Linked DNA regions of Nothobranchius furzeri. The protein of the gene in region 3 purifies or fractionates together with the protein of the main gene of each other region. This does not show direct contact. Links are inferred from orthologs where the notes say so. Each region holds a gene or a part of one and is shown on either strand. Other genes may lie near its edges. The genes, in order: tarbp2, dhx9, ago2, tnrc6c1 and gemin4.

The links.
Region 1: the proteins of ago2 (region 3) and tarbp2 purify together in Homo sapiens (co-immunoprecipitation; 10 studies listed by BioGRID and IntAct, with this or other methods). This does not show direct contact. The link is inferred for Nothobranchius furzeri from reciprocal best matches to the Homo sapiens genes AGO2 and TARBP2.
Region 2: the proteins of ago2 (region 3) and dhx9 purify together in Homo sapiens (affinity purification with western blotting; 5 studies listed by BioGRID and IntAct, with this or other methods). This does not show direct contact. The link is inferred for Nothobranchius furzeri from reciprocal best matches to the Homo sapiens genes AGO2 and DHX9.
Region 4: the proteins of ago2 (region 3) and tnrc6c1 purify together in Homo sapiens (co-immunoprecipitation; 6 studies listed by BioGRID and IntAct, with this or other methods). This does not show direct contact. The link is inferred for Nothobranchius furzeri from reciprocal best matches to the Homo sapiens genes AGO2 and TNRC6C.
Region 5: the proteins of ago2 (region 3) and gemin4 purify together in Homo sapiens (affinity purification with western blotting; 4 studies listed by BioGRID and IntAct, with this or other methods). This does not show direct contact. The link is inferred for Nothobranchius furzeri from reciprocal best matches to the Homo sapiens genes AGO2 and GEMIN4.

Annotation. Positions count from the first base shown.
Region 1 is NC_091743.1:62,020,030-62,024,034, forward strand, and holds the start of tarbp2 (RISC-loading complex subunit tarbp2), read left to right. Parts: upstream 1-1,195; 5' UTR 1,196-1,338; coding exon 1,339-1,391; intron 1,392-2,174; coding exon 2,175-2,489; intron 2,490-2,650; coding exon 2,651-2,720; intron 2,721-2,830; coding exon 2,831-2,948; intron 2,949-3,064; coding exon 3,065-3,192; intron 3,193-3,355; coding exon 3,356-3,551; intron 3,552-3,645; coding exon 3,646-3,803; 3' UTR 3,804-4,005. UniProt on the Homo sapiens protein: Required for formation of the RNA induced silencing complex (RISC). Component of the RISC loading complex (RLC), also known as the micro-RNA (miRNA) loading complex (miRLC), which is composed of DICER1, AGO2 and TARBP2.
Region 2 is NC_091751.1:34,756,107-34,758,670, reverse strand, and holds part of dhx9 (ATP-dependent RNA helicase A), read left to right. Parts: intron 1-1,937; coding exon 1,938-2,049; intron 2,050-2,119; coding exon 2,120-2,281; intron 2,282-2,564. UniProt on the Homo sapiens protein: Multifunctional ATP-dependent nucleic acid helicase that unwinds DNA and RNA in a 3' to 5' direction and that plays important roles in many processes, such as DNA replication, transcriptional activation, post-transcriptional RNA regulation, mRNA translation and RNA-mediated gene silencing.
Region 3 is NC_091751.1:26,608,893-26,613,111, reverse strand, and holds the start of ago2 (protein argonaute-2), read left to right. Parts: upstream 1-1,417; 5' UTR 1,418-1,607; coding exon 1,608-1,623; intron 1,624-3,266; coding exon 3,267-3,314; intron 3,315-4,219.
Region 4 is NC_091752.1:53,964,060-53,967,574, reverse strand, and holds part of tnrc6c1 (trinucleotide repeat-containing gene 6C protein), read left to right. Parts: coding exon 1-65; intron 66-155; coding exon 156-320; intron 321-1,302; coding exon 1,303-1,479; intron 1,480-1,597; coding exon 1,598-1,747; intron 1,748-2,564; coding exon 2,565-2,783; intron 2,784-3,515. UniProt on the Homo sapiens protein: Plays a role in RNA-mediated gene silencing by micro-RNAs (miRNAs). Required for miRNA-dependent translational repression of complementary mRNAs by argonaute family proteins.
Region 5 is NC_091753.1:62,516,052-62,520,170, forward strand, and holds the start of gemin4 (gem-associated protein 4), read left to right. Parts: upstream 1-1,307; 5' UTR 1,308-1,403; coding exon 1,404-1,413; intron 1,414-1,746; coding exon 1,747-3,711; intron 3,712-3,800; coding exon 3,801-3,957; intron 3,958-4,030; coding exon 4,031-4,119. Other genes in the region: dhrs13b.2 (tapasin-related protein), read right to left, coding at 1-86, 181-456, 531-707, 812-857. UniProt on the Homo sapiens protein: The SMN complex catalyzes the assembly of small nuclear ribonucleoproteins (snRNPs), the building blocks of the spliceosome, and thereby plays an important role in the splicing of cellular pre-mRNAs.

The DNA.
Region 1 (4,005 bases), on a different chromosome or scaffold from region 3:
AGACAGTAACGGATCTCGCTGTGATTGCTTCAATGTTGCTCACGTTTCTTCAGTAATCCCTAGGTTTTCTTCAGCTCGCCTCTTTTTCGGTTGAATATTTAAAGTTACTTTTTTCGTAACTTACTTGGTGCATTTGATAAGACAGAGCTGACGTGCTGTGTTAGTCACTACCTCCGCTCCCAGGGTCAGATTAACACTTAGTTGTACCCTGGGCAACAATATTAAAGGTCCCCATCATCACGACCCAAGGATCACCATAATATGGTCACATACAGAATATTTTACTGTAATATGCAGTAAATATACTCAATACTTGAATGCCTGACATCATGTAACCCGCTCAGGGTAACCTTTGACCCACCTCGTGTGGAATGACCAATGAGGAGAGGGTCTAAACTTGAGGCCCTCTCTTCATTGGTCAGTCTGAATGAGACTGACTCTCAACTGGCGTTCAAAGTCATAGGCAGCGAAGCATCTCTGTGCAGCGCAAAAGCCCGGGTGGACAGTTTGTTTAATGTAGGGTGATCATATTTCCATTTCCAAACAAGAGGACAGGGGATCTGTGCCTATGACGTCACACTATGGCAACGCCACACAAACCACGTTGGGACCCATTTTTTTGTAAGAACTAAATTAATATCAGATTCTGCCAATAAAACGGCTCTAAAACAATTCATATGTAAATATTTAGCATATTTCTTGCAAAATCTCATTTTTCTGCTTTAGTGCTGCAACAAGGTTTTATTAATAAGAAATCATTATACCTTTTGTATAACCTAACCTAAACATGCACTCAAATATTTCATACAAAATATCTGACCTCTTATCAGCTGACATTTCTTTAATTGATAACAATGCTGACATGGAGTCTGAGCAAATAATACTTTTCCTAACACCATTTTGTTCTATCCACTGTAAACTAAATGAAATGGCTAACATTTCCACTGTATAAACTGACAGATTATTAGATGTTCGACTTTTATAATATATACTTAATGTCGGAATCCAGAAAGAAAATCCCGTTATATTTCCTGACACTTTCGACCCATCAGTATATTTAGGGATGAATGCTTGATGAGTGTCATTCCCACCTTCTGAGGCACAGAAGGCATTTGGGCCAATCGGGGCTTACGCTGCCCAGGACGCAATCTACGTCATAATCGTGTGACCGAGGTTGTCGCTGTAGAGGTGGTTTCGTCTTCTGGTATCCATCATGTTGCAGCTTTAGCTCATCGTTTTGGGACAACAATAAATACCGTCTAATGAGAGTACGTGTCTGTTGTGGCGGGGGGGATTTTACATCCGAAACCGAGCGGTTCTGTCTGCGCGAAACGGGGAATGAACGACGAGACAGCTTCGGATAGCTGGAAGAGAAACTCCGGGGACTCCAGGTGGGATTGTCTTCTTGATAAAAGCCATTTGTATGTAAACAATATAAAATGTCAGAGTCAAAGGCCTCAGAAACTAACGCGTGCATGTTGTTTTAAGTGTTTAATCTTCTGTTATTCTTTTAATCTCTACAGCTTAACTGTTTGACTCATCGTTAATACTCTTTATCTGGTGGCTTTTTACTGCTAGGTTGATTTTTGAGGGATTATTGTAATCTGGAAGGCAACAGGTGGTCAAAAACACTAATATAATGTTTTCCTAAATGTAAAGATCGGCATAAATTACACAAATCTCTTTATTCCATTTGTAATATATGTAATAAAATAAGCTGATTGCAAACATTTCTGGTTCAAATCTTCATTCCAGATGGCTGTAGCTGCCGCCTCACAAATAAATCATTGAATAAAAGTGCCTTCTTTTACTCTGATAATGTAAATAATAGAGTTTTATTGGTTTGTGCCCATTTCCTTTGTACACTGTGAAGAATCTCACCTCAAAACACCACACTTATTATTTGGGTCAGTATTCATTTGGCAAATAATAGTATTTTTTTTCTTGGAAACATATTTCACAGATTGAGCCTTAAAGATGGCACACTTTTCCTATTTCTTGTTGCATTTCGTGAAACTAAAATATAGACAAGTGTAGTTTTTCCACTGAACATTGTAGCGTATGCCCTTTAGATTTTAGCAGCAATAAACTAGCCACATTGTTGTGTTTTGATCTCAGTAAAGATGATAACAAAATAAGTGAACAGCTGCTTATGCTTTCTATCTTTTAAATAGTATTGAGCAAATGCTGGCTGTGAATCCTGGAAAGACGCCCATCAGTCTGCTGCAGGAGTATGGAACGCGGATAGGCAAAACCCCAGTGTACGACCTGCTGAAGGCGGAGGGACAGGCCCACCAGCCCAACTTCACATTCCGCGTCTCCGTCGGAGAGATCAGCTGCACCGGCCAAGGGCCCAGCAAGAAGGCAGCTAAGCACAAAGCAGCTGAGGCTGCTCTGAAGATGCTCAAAGGAAGCCTCGGAGATCCAGCTGGAGTCGCTGTCGGAGAAGACGTGTTTATCGAGGTTGATGTGTCTATTGACGGAGACTGGTCAGGACCCTACTTCATTTTAAAATGTAGAAAAGAACCTAGCGATGCTTAAGTGATGCTTAATGGCTTGTCTTGATTGGATCCAGACGATGTTTCAACATTGAGTTGATGGAAGAGAGAGATTTGTGTGGATTTAGTCTGTCCTCTCATGTTTTATGCAGCTCTCAGTCAGAGATGAAGACTTCCAGCAGTTCTCAACAGTCGGAATGTAACCCCGTTGGGGCGCTGCAGGTAACTACGCCATAGAGACTTTATTTTATCCTGGTAATCCACAACACTGGTTTCTGTTAGAATATTTCTATAGTTTCCTTCCTTTTTTTTTCTGTTTTGATTTACTTCAGGAGTTGGTGGTGCAGAAAGGATGGCGTTTGCCAGAGTACACGGTCACTCAGGAGTCGGGTCCAGCACATCGAAAAGAGTTTACCATGACCTGCAGAGTGGAGAGATTTGTAGAAATTGGTAAATCTTCTCTCATTCTTGTTTGATATCTGCATGTTGTGCTTTCACGCTCAATTGGATTTGTCAAAATCTGCTTTTATGCCAAGTGAAGGAGTGATTTCCTTTTTCCTGTCCAGGAAGTGGCACATCTAAGAAGTTAGCCAAGAGGAATGCAGCCGCTAAGATGCTCTCACGGATCCACGACGTTCCAGTGGACCTGAGGAGCAGCAACGAGGCAGATGCAGAAGAAGATACCTTCAATTTGGTGAGAGCTAAACACCACAGCAGTGATTTATATGCTTGCGCTTAAATTTCTTGTGCAATTCTCAAAATATCACAAACTGTGCCCATGTTATGGTGATGAAGCTTCTCTGCTTGGCTCTACTGTGTCTGTGTAAAACGTGTATAAAATCATCCCATTTACGCAGCACATGGGCAGCAGAGCGGAGTCGGGTAAAAGCAAAAGTTTCAGCTGCACCTGGGATTCTCTGCGTAACTCTGCTGGAGAGAAGATCCTGCAGCTCCGCAGCCACCCTCTGGGAATGCCAGCTGGCTCCAACTTCTGCTCGTTGCTGAGCGACCTGTCCGTGGAGCAGCGCTTTGATGTCAGTTACCTCGACCTCGGTGAGCTCACGCTCAACAGCACAACAGGAGCACCGTAAAGCGGTTAGAAACTCCTCGTTTTTTTTCTTCACATCCATGCTTGTTTGTTTTTCAGAGGAGCGCAGCCTCAGCGGCCGCTGTCAGTGTCTGGTGGAGCTGTCCACACAACCCATCACTGTGTGTCATGGCTTTGCTCCGAACGTAGAAGCTGCTCGAGCCCACGCGGCTCACAATGCACTGCAGTACCTTAAAATCATGGCAGGAGGAAAATGAGACACCTGGGCGCGTTTTTTGTCCGCAGACCCGAACTCGCCACCACGCGATGCCAATGTACACCTCCTTGTTGTACAGTAGAGGCTTTTTGACCTCAGATTGGTTAAGAGACATTTTTATCCTGCCTTGAAGCTAAACACAAGTTTATCTCTAGTTCATTTGTTGTCCAGCTGGTGAAAATCTCACAGCCTAAAACTCAAAC
Region 2 (2,564 bases), about 8.1 Mb from region 3:
AAAGGGCAGCCTTGGCGGAGTCTAACTTTCACTGGTAACGAGCCCGACTTACTGCCGGCAATGCGGACCAAGCTCTGACACCGGTCATACAGGGACCTAACAGCCCATAACAGAGGGCCTGGTACCCCATACTCCCGGCGTAGCCCCCACAGGGCCCCTCCGAGGGACGCAGTCAAACGCCTTCTCCAAATCCACAAAACACATGTAGACTGGTTGGGCAAATTCCCACGCACCCTCCAGGATCCCCCTAAGGGTATAGAGCTGGTCCAGTGTTCCACGGTCGGTCCAGTGACTGGTCTGATGGGCATCCTCCCCCACCATCGAAGCCAACTCACCACCAGGTAGTGGTCAGTTGACAGCTCCGCCCCTCTCTTCACCCGAGTGTCCAAGACAGGCGGCTGCAGGTCAGATGAAACAACAACAAAGTCGATCATCGGGCTTCGGCCTGAGGTATCCTGGTGTCAAGAGCACATATGGACACCTTTATGTGTGAACATGGTGTTCATTATGTACAATCCATGACTGGCACAGAAGTCCAATAACAAAACACCACTCGAATTCAGATCATGGCCGTTCCTCCCAACCACACCTCTCCAGGTCTCACTGTCGTTGCCCACATGAGCGTTAAAGTCCCCCAGCAGAACGAGGGAGTCACCAGAAGGAGCGCTCTCCGGCACCCCCTCCAGGGTCTCCAAAAAGAGTGTGTAGTCTGAACTGTAGTTTGGTGCAAAAGCACACCCATCCCCCCACACGTAAGCGGAGGGAGGCTACCCTCTCATTCACTGGGGTAAACCCCAACGCACAGGCACCAAGATGGGGGGCAACTAGTATGCCCAGCCCTGCTCGGCGCCTCTCAGTGTCTCTGTGTCTTACAAACACACCTTACCGGCATGGCGTTGCACAAATTTAGCATCATTCGTTCGGCCCGCTTGGTAATAATGCGGTAATTGTCTGCCTAATAGACGGCGCGACAGAGGGAGGCGTCATGATGACGTAGGGAGTTAATGCCGAGCTCCGGCCAGCAACTCGATAGAAAATGAAAGTAAACTCCGACTGCAAGTTTTGCGTTTTGAACAAAAACAGCTGAGACAGCAGAGTGAAGGCTGCAGCCATCCAAGAGCTTCTCTCCGTTAGAGCTGGAGCTCAGATCACCAGAGACCACACCGGGGCTGTGGAGGACGGACACAGTTAGGAGCGGCTTGTTAAAAAATACGTAACCATCGTGGCTTCAATTGCAGTAAAAACTAACGGAAGTCCGTGGCAGCGCAGAGACTGCCCTATACCACCGTTATGCCGCCACAGTACTGCCACGGTCTGACCACCTAAAAACGACCTAAGGCTCCCTGACGCCGCCATGGCGTTGATTGTTTAGTTGAAACAGCTTGTGATATTTGGTGTTAAAGAAAAGGATGTTCTGATGTTGGAAAGACTCCCTTGAACTCATGTTGTCATATCTGTGAAATCTGAGTTTCCTTGTGAAGGAAAGGGAATCGTGTAGAAAAAAACACTTGACTGTACTTTACCAGAAGCTGGGGGCGGGATCTTGAGCATGTGACATCACATGTCGTGTGTTTCTGTTGAAACGGAAGCTTGTTGCAGCAGCTCACCTGTTCCTTCCAGGAGCAATCCCCTCATCAGGCAGCAGGTGACCAGCAGAGTGACTGGAGACCAGAAAGTCCCCTGATCGAACCAGTTAAAGCTGCCCTCGTTGGACGGGAGCTGCACATCGGGTTCCTCTCATATTGGGACCCGAGCTGGGCTCCATGTTGGTGCTTATTAGTGCGACTCGTGCGTATGAAACCGTCCACCGTGTGCTACACTAGGGGTACCCGGACCAGAGGTGGGAGGGGCTTTCTAACGGAGGCATTACTGGAACACCTGGTGGTAATCTGTGGGATGCTTCGGTGGTTTGAGCTGATTTAACCTTTGTGTTGCAGAGCTGGACGCTCTGGACTCCAACGATGAGCTGACTCCTTTGGGTCGGATTCTGGCTCGGCTGCCCATCGAACCTCGGCTGGGGAAGATGATGATCATGGGCTGCATCTTTTAGTGGGTTCCTCTCTGGTTCTCCTGACTTGTTGCCTCTGATATGGGGTGACTGACGTGTTTCTCCCCTCAGTGTTGGAGATGCCATGTGCACCATCTCAGCCGCCTCCTGTTTTCCGGAGCCGTTCATCAGCGATGGGAGACGCCTCGGATTCGTCCACAGGAACTTTTCGGGGAACCGCTTCTCGGATCACGTGGCGCTGCTGTCGGTCTTCCAGGCCTGGGACGACGTGAGGTGAGTGAGCCTCAAAGGTTTTAATTACCTTCTGGATCTTCACCTGATCCCTCATCAGTCTTTTGGTGGCTTCATGTTTTGTTTTTATATAAATAAATATATAATCTGGTCTTGATTCGGAAAAGGGTAGAATGCCTTCTCTGGGTCAGGGATGAGGTCCTGCCCCAAGTGGAGGAGTTTAAGTATCTCTGGGTCTTGTTCACGAGTGAGGGAAAACTGGAGCGTGAGATCGATAGGCAGATTGGTGCTGCATCTGCAGTGATGCGGGCGTTGTACCGGTCTG
Region 3 (4,219 bases):
ACGGTGTTACAAAGTGGCTGAACTAGTCTGTCCAAAAAAGAAAAGGTGAAGTGGATGCAGTGGTCCATCAGGTCCTTATAGGCTATGAATCATAGAAATCTGCTCAGTGTCTTAACATTTTCTGCTTCAACGAATTTCTGTTAATTTAGACACAGTAAAAGGACCACATTACCTGCATGTGCATCATGTACATCACACTTCATGACTGATAACCGCTGCAAAATGTAAAAACCCTTTTTGGTTCATCATAATGTAAATTTGTCTGCCTTTGTTACCAAAAACCGTAGTTTGAGTGCATCCGAACCTACATCATAACACGGAGCCAAACAGCCTGTTTCCCATCAAAAACAACGTGATTTGTCCCTCTGTGTCCCTGAGACGGAATGGAGACACGTCTAGGGTGTCCTCCACCTCTCATCTAATGACTGCTTGATATAGTCACTAGACATTTTGAAAATTAATAAACATGTGTGTGTGTGTAACTCGTCATGAAAAAAGAACAAACACATATAAATAGTCCCTGAACCTCTATACTGTCTGTGTAATCAGTTCTCCTCATATCATTTTAGTGTTTTATTCATAATCAACTTCTGACATGCGCACTTTACACCAAGCAAGTTTTAATTAAATATTTTCACCATCAAAATATAAAAAGCAAACCACAAACAAGTTGATTTCAGATTGCTGAAGCTTCCCATATCACATTAAATGTTTTAATGCATAGCAAACTAAAATGTGTATTTCAGCCGCTTTATTACCCCGGAAATACTTCTTCGGTCTTTAAGTTGTTCCTGTGACTTTTTCTTTTTAGTGACTTTTAAATGATACGCATCGGATATCAGTTTAATGATGTCGCATCAAAGTTTAGCTCTGATGAAAAATGAAAGAATAGTTTTTCCGAATTTTCGCTTTTGATTCGGATGGACGCTAAGAGCGCGCAACGTGCGTCTGATGTCACTGAACCTTCCCGCTGGCAAGATAAACCTCCCCATTCATGAGCATTAACTTTTCCACCATGATCGAGCCAAATAACACTGTTAAAGATAACGAGCGATGTTTGAATGAGTTAGCGACAAATTGGTAGAGACGATGTATCAGAAAAACTTATTTATTCAAGTAGAAAAACACTAGAATTCCTGAACGTGCAGCTCTTTTTTTCAGTCTGATAGTGAGGAGTAATTCATTAACATTTTCATTTATGTTTGTGCAGTTTCAAAGTTAGCTCATTCAAATTACATTTCTGACATGTGAATCCAATAAACTGATTAAATCATGATTCTATGTCAGATAATATGACACAAAACAGAAGCTTTGATCGGTTTTGAGAACGAAAGCCCAACAGCGGAAGTGGACGACAGCGAGTTCTCTTGCCCCGCAGGGATTTCAATGCCTCCGTTCGTCTCTGCTCTCGTTTTGTGTTGGGGGGATGGGGTCGTGCAGAGGATGAGAGACTCCAATATTTACCACTTGGCTAACTAAACTTCTTTATCTTCACCTTAGTTTGTTGGAAATACCCAAGTCTGTAGGTTCTGTGTGAGGTTAGGCGGAGGTTGGTCTTCTAAAAGTGGAGTACCGGTCGTCCACCATACGCTCAAAAAGTCGACAAAATGTATTCAGCTGGAGGTAAGTGCTACTAACCATTAGCATCGACTAAGTGGATGATGGATTTCTTTCCAGAACGGCATCAATCTACTGCCGATACATTCTCCGGTTTTGTTTTAATTAACTTATTATTATAAAATAAGTTCTTCAACGAATGATGCATCCTCGACTTAGTGGAGGCGTTAGTACCAAAAGCGAGTTTAGCTGCATTAGCCAAGTTAGCTTTAGCGGCACCTCGTTTCCCCAACTTGGTAAACTTCCTCTGCCCTTAAACGAGGTGGAATGCAGTCACTCGACAAACTGTATAATATTCAACACACATGGTGGGTTTTATTTGCTTTTTTCTTTAAAAGCTGCCACATGCTAACAGTAGCATTTAGCGGCAGCTCATGCTTCCTAATCTCAATCACAAATCATACAAATGGTTACCATAAATGTGTCAAATGAATAGGTTTAAGTTCATTTACATTCTACATCATTTCCCACAAAATTTGTAAAAAATCGAGAGTTGGAGCAATTTTGCTCGCATCCTAAGCAAAGATGGGACGATGTATGTAAACAAAACCAGAATGCAAGCATGTGTTTGTCACGTAAGACCACATTTTTAACATCCGACACAAATACAGCAAATCATAAATATAATTTCTGGGAAAAGGGATGATTTCTGCTTTGAACCACAAGCTCGTTAGAGTAAAGTGGGGATAACTAATGACGTTTGGCTCATGGGCAACAACAAGTTAGCTTGATTGGGTTCAAATTAACATCTGTCATATAACTCATTCTCACTCTCACACACACACACACACACACACACACACACACACACACACACACACACACACACACACACACACACACACACACACACACATATATATATATATATATATATATATATATATATATATATATATATATATATAGACATGTTTCATCTACATTTTATTAAGACATTAAGAATGTTTCTTTTTGGCAGGGCAGGTGGTAATTAAGTTTATTTATTCTTTATTTAACCAGGAAGGTCCCATTGAGATTAAAAACTTCATTTTCAGGGGAGTCTTGGGATTGGTTAAAAAATATATAATCAACAGTTGAATAATGGCGATTAGTTATCTGCTTAAATGCTGAGGTAGGAAGGAAAATGCAGAAATTTAACGAGAAAAGTTTATAAGCAGTTTAACTTTTTTATGCAGAGGCTGAAAATAATCACCTCTGCCATATTTCATTTGCATCTATACCTTCAGGCATTTGTTCTTCTCCATGAGCCTTATTGAAATAAAACTAAACAATGAGCTGAACTGTATCAGTTCTGGGCTGTTTCCTTATGAACGGGTGGCTACATTTATGCTAGATTACCAGCTCGTTTCATCCCGTCTGTGTGTTTGTAGATTAGACATACTTCATTGCAGACGATGGTGCTGGCCGGGATGTGATAAAAGACCGTCTGAAATAGTTAACGATGTTCTGAATTAAAAAATATTTAAAATGGGAGATTTTTTTTCTTTTTTCCAGGTTTTTTATAAAGATTTCTGACTCTATTTGCATTTAATGCTGTAAAACTAGATTTCTGTTTTGTGTTGGGTGCTTTTTTTTGTTTAAGTACAGAGTACTTGAGTCCAAGTTGGATCTTAAACATTTCTAACGTATAATTTTATCCCCTCTAGGTGCTGAGGTTATGGAGAGGCCACATTCTTCTGGGTCCATAAGCTCTGGTAAGCTTTCTTACTTCTAAGCTCTGGTCCCAGGAGAAACATGATATATTAAAAAAAAATATATATATAAATATATATATATATATATTACACCTTTCTGTCATAATGAGATGCACTCTACACAGTTTAACTTCTGATTAGATTATTAAATTATCTACAGAGTATTTCAGCAGGGCTTTGGAGCTTATACCTGTGAAATGCTGATTTTTTTTTCTGTGAAGGACTTTGTATGTCTTATACTGATGTAGTCATTTAAGCTTTGTTCAGCCAAAACGCAAAGTGCTGATGTCATGTGAGCCGTTTACTCACATCCAGGGTATCCGCGGGTCCTTAAAAAGTCTTAAATTTACTTTTCCAAATTTAAGGCCTTGAAAATCCTTAAAAATGACAAATAATCCTTAAATCCAGTTTCCAATGGTCTTAAATTACCAAAGACCCAATAAACAAGATTATTTTATTTCTATAAAAATTTTCGTGAATTTCTAAATTTGGCTCCCTTAAACCTGCAGATACCCTGCACATCTTATAAAAACTCCACATGTTTCTATTAAATTGACACCAGAGACAATTCTGAGATGCTTCTCTTTGTGGTGTAAGAGTCCTGGGGGGAGAAAGCACGTCACTGGTGTTTCAGTCAGCTGGTCGTCTGCTCGGTGCATCAGGGTCATCGAAGGGTGTTTGTATGAATGACCAGAACTGGAGAGTGGAGATAAGGCAGTGAAGGAGTCTGTGTCTGTTCTGACACACTCCGATATCACAGGACCTCTAGAATAATCAGCTCCCATTAATAATAATAATAACAACCTGTTTATTTTCCTGGCTGTGCTTATAGGAATACCTCAGTGTGGATAACTGAATGTGCTGGCCACTGAAACTCCCAGTAAATTAAAGAAATGTCTAGTTTT
Region 4 (3,515 bases), on a different chromosome or scaffold from region 3:
CCTCCCCGACCTGCAGACCAAAGAGCCGCAGTCATCCCCCAACACCTACAGCCCCTATGCTCTCTGTGAGTGGCAGGAAGTGTTGATCTGTGACGGTGAGAGGGATCCGATTGCTGAGCATCATTTGTAACATCGGTCTTTCTCTTTCTCCTCAGCTGGACTGAATCCAAACCTGAATCCAAACTGTATCGATGTGGGAAGTCTTCCTCTGAAAGAACCCCCGCAGCCCCAGTCGCGGCTGTCTCAGTGGACACACCCGAACTCCATCGAAAGTCTGTCTGGACACGCCTCTGCTCTTGAGCCCAATCTGGGAAAGCACGGTGAGGAAAACCACAAGATCCAGCTCATCAAGCAGCCTGATGTTTCAGTAAAAGCGGTTTCATTCTGTGAGTCGTCAGTTTCCATAAAGTCCTGGAAGATCAAGAATCAACAGAAATCTTTCAAAACGTAGATCAGGAAATCATGTTTGTATCCTACAAATCATTATTAAATGTATAATTATTATAATTAAAGGAGCATTACGTACAAATTTTACAGTGAAATAATCGCAAAACAGTTTAATGTCTCAGTCAGCGACTCTTAGCCAGCTGGGGGGTTGTCAGTTTTTCTCTCTTTCAAAAACTAAAGAGGGACGCGGTTACTGTTTACAAAGCGTTTGTGAGGTTGCCATGTCTCAGGTGAGCCAACACTGCAGCGCTGGCATTTGTAATTTGACACTGGTCGGCAAAAAGCTCCAGAGATCCTAAGCCAGGTAACAGGAGTAACCGAGAAGTTATTTCTTGTACTTCTAAGAAACCACGACATCTTTTTGTTTTACGCTAATATCTGGTGATTCAGGCTAGAAGCTAACGTTGAGCTAACAATGAATTAGAAGCAAATAGTCGGCTATAAAAATATCTCAAGCAACTTTTTCGATTACCAAAAACTCTGTTACATTGAAACGTGTGTGTGAAGTGAATAATGACTCGGTTGTGGTGTTTTACTTCTTTTAATGAGTCATTCAGAGCTCAAACAGCAAGACGGCGCTGGAGAAATATTACCGTAATAATTGTAGTAAGTGCTCCCTAGCGTAAAACACCCAAAGGTACTAGCACCCAATATGGTAATGCATTTATCAACTTACTTACAACTGACTCGTCGTTGCTTGTCATCTAGAATCTTCGGTGCTGATTCGTTACTGACGTCAGCCATGATGGCTTAGGAAAATGGACTGCAGTTACCTCATTTGACCACATGATGTCATTCTCACTTCATTTTTACATGTTTCACCTTTAAGTAAAGCCATTTGTTTTGTCTGGGTAGGTGCCCCCCTGGGGCCTCCTGGGAAGCCCCCCCAGATGGACGACTCGTACCACCACTACAACCTGATGTCCAGCTCCGAGTCTCCTACAAGCCCGCTGGTCCCCCCCGAAAGCTGGGGGCAGGGCAAGAACAGCAGCGACAAGATGGCAAATGGGACCAACATCAACTGGCCACCAGGTTAGAAAACGTCTACTGTCACATCATGTTTGTGGGTACTTCAGAATGCGTACTTTTACTTTATTCCCTTCGGAGTTTGAAATCGTCGTGAGTGAAAGTAAACAAAAACTTGTTTCAGAGTTTTGTCCCGGCGTTCCCTGGAAGGGGCTACAGAACATCGACCCTGAGACTGACCCTAACGTGACCCCAGGCAGCGTCCCCAGTGGACCCACCATCAACACCAACATCCAGGATGTCAACCGCTACCTGCTGCGGGACAGGAGTGGAGGTCAGACCAACCGCCAGTGGCTGCTTGTGTTTCATACGTTTATGTTGAATAATATGTCTCTTTGAAGATCCGGCTGAAGAGTTTAAAAGATACCTGAAAAATCAATAAACTGAATTTCCTATTTTAAAAAAGTATCAGAGGTTTTAAACCTATCCGGGATCCTGCTGCTGCTTCTTTTCTTCTTTATTTTCCTGCTTTAACTGCTTCTATTTCCATTTTCACCCACTTGAACCTCAGTGATCTTATCATTTGTAGTGCCTTTTTTTTTCTTTGCTCCATTTCCTCTCTTGCTACTTTTTCCTTATTTGTGTTTGTCTGTTGGTGTCGCTGGCGTCGCCTCAGGCTCCTCCCCCACTTCATCTCAGAACGAGGCTCTGCCTCCTTCCGCTGATTGGCCGGTCAGTGCCTACACTAGCTCGTTCAGTCTCTCGTCCCCGGAGATGGACGAAGCAGGTACATGGTTTACCCACAACCCTCTCCCCTCACCCTGCAGTGACCGTGTGGTCCAGAGCTCTAACCCTGCCCCCCCCAAGCCGCTACTCCTGAGCATGATTTTCATTTGAAAGGTCAGCGGTGTTAGCAAAGCAGTCCCTTCTAGTGCCTGGACAGTGTGAAGCAGAGGAGATGCTAGGTTAGTTTACAGCTGACTATGAACAGCTTTCATTCGTTCTGTCTGCTTCTCTTCATAAAAGAATGGGAGATATGTGGTGGTTGTAGATTTGTGGAAAAGTGTTACTTTTTCATTAGATGTGTCCCTAACCAGAGAACCTGCAGCTCTGGGTTCTGCAGACCAACCGTCCTCCATGTTTCCATCCAGGTAAACTGTCGGAGATGAAATCAACCTGGTCCCCAGGCCCCATCTCTCACAGCCAGCCGTCTCTGTCCCACGAGCTTTGGAAGGTCCCTCATGGCCCGCGGAGCAGCACCACCGCCCCCTCCCGCCCTCCGCCCGGCCTCACGAACACGAAGCCCTCCTCCACCTGGGGCGGGAACTCTCTGGGTCTGAGCCAAGGCTGGAGCAGCTCCTACACCACAGGTACGTCACACCCTTCATGTCTCTAATCTGCTGAAAATCAGCTCCGCGCTGTTTAATGATGAACATGAGGCGTTCAACTCTTATCTACTGGTTTACGTCAGAGTTATTATCCCACTCAATCCAGTAGCAGATGGAACTGATGAAGCTGTGATGAACGACTGGACACTTGAAGATGATTTGCTGCAGATTTCCACATCATAAATGAAGACGACGATCTAAGACGGGGCATCTAAGGCTACGTTCACACTGCAGGCCTTGATGCTCAATTCCGATTTTTTTTTTGAGTAAACCAGATTTTTTTGTGTGGCTGTTCACATCATGACTGAAATACAACATCAGATTCTCTCCAGTGTGAACGCTCCTCGGCCCCAAAGAGACCCGTGAAAACTTTCATACCTGTTAATTCTTCCGTTTTGGGCTGGAAACTGTTTTAAAAACTGTAAACTATTTTACTCCTTGTTCCCGCCATCTCCCTGAATTAGTATTTATAGAAAATGTTCCGGTATTAATTCCTTCACGGAGAATCCTCCTCCCTCCCTCCCTCCCTCCCTTCACGGAGACGGAGACCGGTGAGACGCGTCGCTCCAGCAGCACCTCCCGTTCCCGTTCACATTCTCTCTTTTTAATTCCAAAACTTAAAACAGGAAGTCCCGACAGACTCCTGAACCCTTCTGTCAGCGCTTCTCCTCGGGATCATGCACGCACGACGCTCACCTCCGCTGACTCAGTGAC
Region 5 (4,119 bases), on a different chromosome or scaffold from region 3:
GTCCACACTAAACTGGCAGTGGAGCTTTTGTTCAGATCTCAGGCTGGTTTTCACCAGTGGTGTTTCTGTTTTCATTACCATGGCAACTGTGAGACCAGATGGACAAAGACAGAACACAGAGAAACACCATCAAAGAACCAGAACTGGAGCTGTTGGCATTATGGAGTGAAACTAACTGACCTGATGTAGTGAGCATCTGTCCATCAGTGATGGGAACCCAGCTGAGGTAGTCCTGCTTTCCTGGTGGAGGCTGGTCAGACGGGTGTCTGAGGAAGCCGAGCACAGTGAAAAGGCCCTGGTTGTGTTTGAGAGAGACGGAGAACCAGTGGTTGTACTCCCTGGCCTTCTGACTGGGCCAGTGGACATAGATGCCCTGTGTGCTGTATCTACGCAGCTCACACTCCAGCTGTTCTGCCTCCACTCCCTCCACATAGTGCCGCATGTCCACCTTGGACCCTGCAGCAGAACACAGAAGAGTAAGGTGCAACCGTTGTCAGGTGTGTAATGGTGACCTGTGTCAGGTGGCTTACCTGTGACCTGAAAAGTGATGGTGCGTAGATCTACAGGAGCTTCTCCTGTCTGACCAAACTGCAGCACAGCATTTCTGGGGATCCGCTGGGTCTCTCTATGTCCTTCATTGTTCATAATCACCTGTTCATCTGTGAAGTGACAGGGCAGCCATAGTATCTGCTGGCTACAGTAGACCCCTGGAGACAGACCAACAACTCAAAGCAGCTGATCCGAGTGGGCTTCCTCCAAAAACACAAACTGTCCCCACACTCGCAGGGATACAAGCCTTCTGAAGACTTACCTGTCCAGATAAAACCGTAAATAAGAATCCTGCAGGGTGGAACCATGGTTATTCATCAGATCTACTGATCCTTGTTCCTGCTTCATTCAGCTGCACATTTATTCTCAGAACACTTTCGCTTTCATTTACAACGAAAAAAAACCTGCTTTGCATGCAGCTGCATCACGTGACGAGCAGAGACAGTTTCACAAGGAGAAATACTGCAAAACACTTTTAAATGTCACTAAAAGCGAGTAACGTTTAAACCATCACACGTAGGGCTGAACCGGTGTTCCGGTCTGGCGGCAGCACTGGTGAACGCGGTGTCTAGTCAACAACGCAAAACCTCGCAACAGTAAAAACAAACCAGTCAACAATCCAACAGAAAAGGCGAGGAAAACAACAACAACAACAACAATAACAACAAGGTGAAGCAGGTTTGGCGGTTTGCTGGGTTAATGCGGCTGCAGTACCGTATCTATCCAGGGGTGGCGCTGTGGGGACGCCTCGCCACCTGACAGCAGCCCGGCTTCCTGCTGGAAACCGGAAGCGCCTTTCCTGGTAACGAACTGGTTCACGAGGCGGGCGGGTGTATGTTCCTGCCTCCGCAGCCATGGACAAAGGTAATTATTAATGTTAGACATGTCTCGTGAACTTGCGCGAGCTTCGTCTCCAGTCGGTAGAGACGAACATGGCGCTAAACGCTCAGGCTGAAGCAGCAAGCTGCAGGTTTGAAGAGCCCTCTCCTAGCCAGTCGTTCGTTCTGGACCTGCTTCACCTGCAGCCTGCCCCCCCTTCACACACACACACACACACACACACACACACACACACACACACACACACACGCACACACACACACACACACACACACACACACACACACACACACACACCTGGATAACGCTGATCTCGGCCCAGCTCGGGTCTCAGCCTGTTGCTTGCCTGTTTTTCAGATTCCGCCGTGCTCCAGGGAGCTTTCCTCCAGGCAGACAAACTGTGCCTCCCCTCATCCCTGTCCCTGATGCAGAAGGCGGACTGGAGTCGTGTGAAGCTCCCGATCCTGCAGGCCCTCAGAGACACCTGTGGGCTGAGCGCTCTGGCCTGGCAGAAGAAGGTTGTTTGTGTGGTGTGGTTGAAGCTGATGAGCAGTGAGGCTGAGGAAGATGTGGAGAAGGGGTGGAGGGACAACCCTTTCTTCTGCCTCCAGAACGGCCTCCCTGACGTAAGCCGGGCTGTTCTGCTGGAGCTGGTGAAGTCACTCTCAGCTGCGCCGGTCTTTGCCCGCTTGCTCCTGCGTCTGCCTCAGCAGCAGATCTGCACCGAGCTGCAAACGCTGGCAGAGCATCTGAGGACGGATCCCAGTCCTGAAGACGTCTGCTTTCTGTTGGAGGTGTGGTGGGAGCTGTGGAAAGGCAGAGACAAATGTCAGACGCAGGAAGACAAAGACTTAGAGATGATGTTTGTCAGCCAGTTTGCACGCCTGTCCTCCGATTGTCCCAGTGTCTCGCCTCAGGCTGCAAAACGCTTAAAGCTGGACCTTCCTGCATCGTCAGCAAACACAGACGTTCTGCACGTTCTCCTCCATGCTCTTAAGAACATGAAAGATCAAGTATCTACTACAGATTTGTGCCTGCAGTCCCTGTTAGTCTGCCTCGACGCTCTTTACACATCCTTCCTAACAGACCCAGAGGTTGTGCTTCCAGTTGAAGAGAAGTTGCTCATCCTCTGTAGGCTTGTTGACACCAGAGGACAGACGCAGGCGTGGAGCCCCAAACTCCTTCAGGAGGCTCTGAGAGACCTGCGTGCTGCTCACTCACCAGCTCCTTTTCAGCCCAGCAGGATGACGCTGAGCCAAGCTTTGAAGATCGTAGCAGAACTCACAGAATTCTGGCTGGAACAGGATCTCCTGAGCGCTCCTGGCTGCTCCGCGTTCCTGCTGCAGCAGAGCGTCCAGAGAGTCCTGGCAGCTCTAGAAGAAACGGGAACATCTGAGCATGTGACTGAGAAGAGCACACTCAGAGGTCTGCTGAGTTCACTGTCTCTTCCTGCCGTAGAGACCCCCCCTCAGGTGCAGGCTCAGGTCGCTGCCACCGTCATCAGTCACCGCCTGGAGGACTGTGAGGAGTTTGCTGCGCTGTTTGCCAGCCAGTTGTCCTGGACTCATGAAGAGCTGTGGGTGGACTGCCTGGAGAAGAACCACACGGCCTTCACGCAGCCCAACACCCTCATCAGCCTCTCCTCCACCCTCGTGAGTCGCCTGCAGCGTGGGAACGTGAACACCACCTGGTGCAGGAGAGCCATTAAAACGGCTGCAGATGTCTTCTCTGCTCTTTCGTTAGAAAACCAGAACAAGGTCCTCGCTGCAGTACCGAGCCGCTCCAGCAGGGGCTTCTTTGGCTGCTCTGTCCCCTCGGCTGTGGCAGACGGCTTTGAGCAAGAGCTGAACATGGCCTTTAACTGCCTTATCCAGGGAGGGGGCGGGGCCTCAGCAGCAGTGTCCCAGGGCCGCCTGACCACAGCAGCCTCTCTGGTAGCTCGAGTGGCCTTTCAGAGCCCAGAGGCGGCTTTAAGGTCCTGCTGCCACGCCGCCGTTTTCAACAGGGGAGCCTTCAGCCTCATGGCAAAGATCCTGCAGCAGCTGCCTGGACTCCGCGGACGGAGGGGAGGGGAGGATGAGGCAAACGGAAACGATGTGGAGCAGCAGGAAGCTGGAGGGCGTGGTAGTCTGTTCTGTAGGTGTTTACAGACGGCGGTCAGAGGCAAGCCACTGTCCGCCTGTGAAAAGGAGCAGCTCCTCAAGTTCCTGTCTCTGCTCATGGCGCCGGGCCCGACGCTCCAGGGAGAGCAAGAGACACAGAGGTTCTTGTCTCCACAGGAGGTGGTCAACACACTGGTCCTGCCTCGCCTCTCAGCTGCAGGTCGGGGTCCATGCTGGCTTTAATCTCATCTGTGTGTGATCTGTAAACGCTCGTCACATTCTGCTGCTGTCCCATCTGTGTTTCTGCAGCTGAAGAGTCCTGCGATGCAGAACTGAGTCTGCAGCTCCTCCACGCTGCTTTGGCTGTGGGTGTCCAGGAAGTAGCCCCCTCCCCTCACTGGGTGTTGGACTGCTCTCCCTTCCCCCTCCTCTATATTCTGGCCCAGCAGTACAACCAGACTCTCATGTGTGTATGATCCCGTGTGTGTGTGTGTGTGCAGCGGTTGTTGTTGGGCTTCTACTCATCTGATCTCTGTTAGGTGCTGGGAGCGGTCGTCGGAGGACAGCGACCACCTGAGCTCCATGGACACCAAGGAGCTGCTGGAGTCGGTGCTGAGCTTGCTGGGAC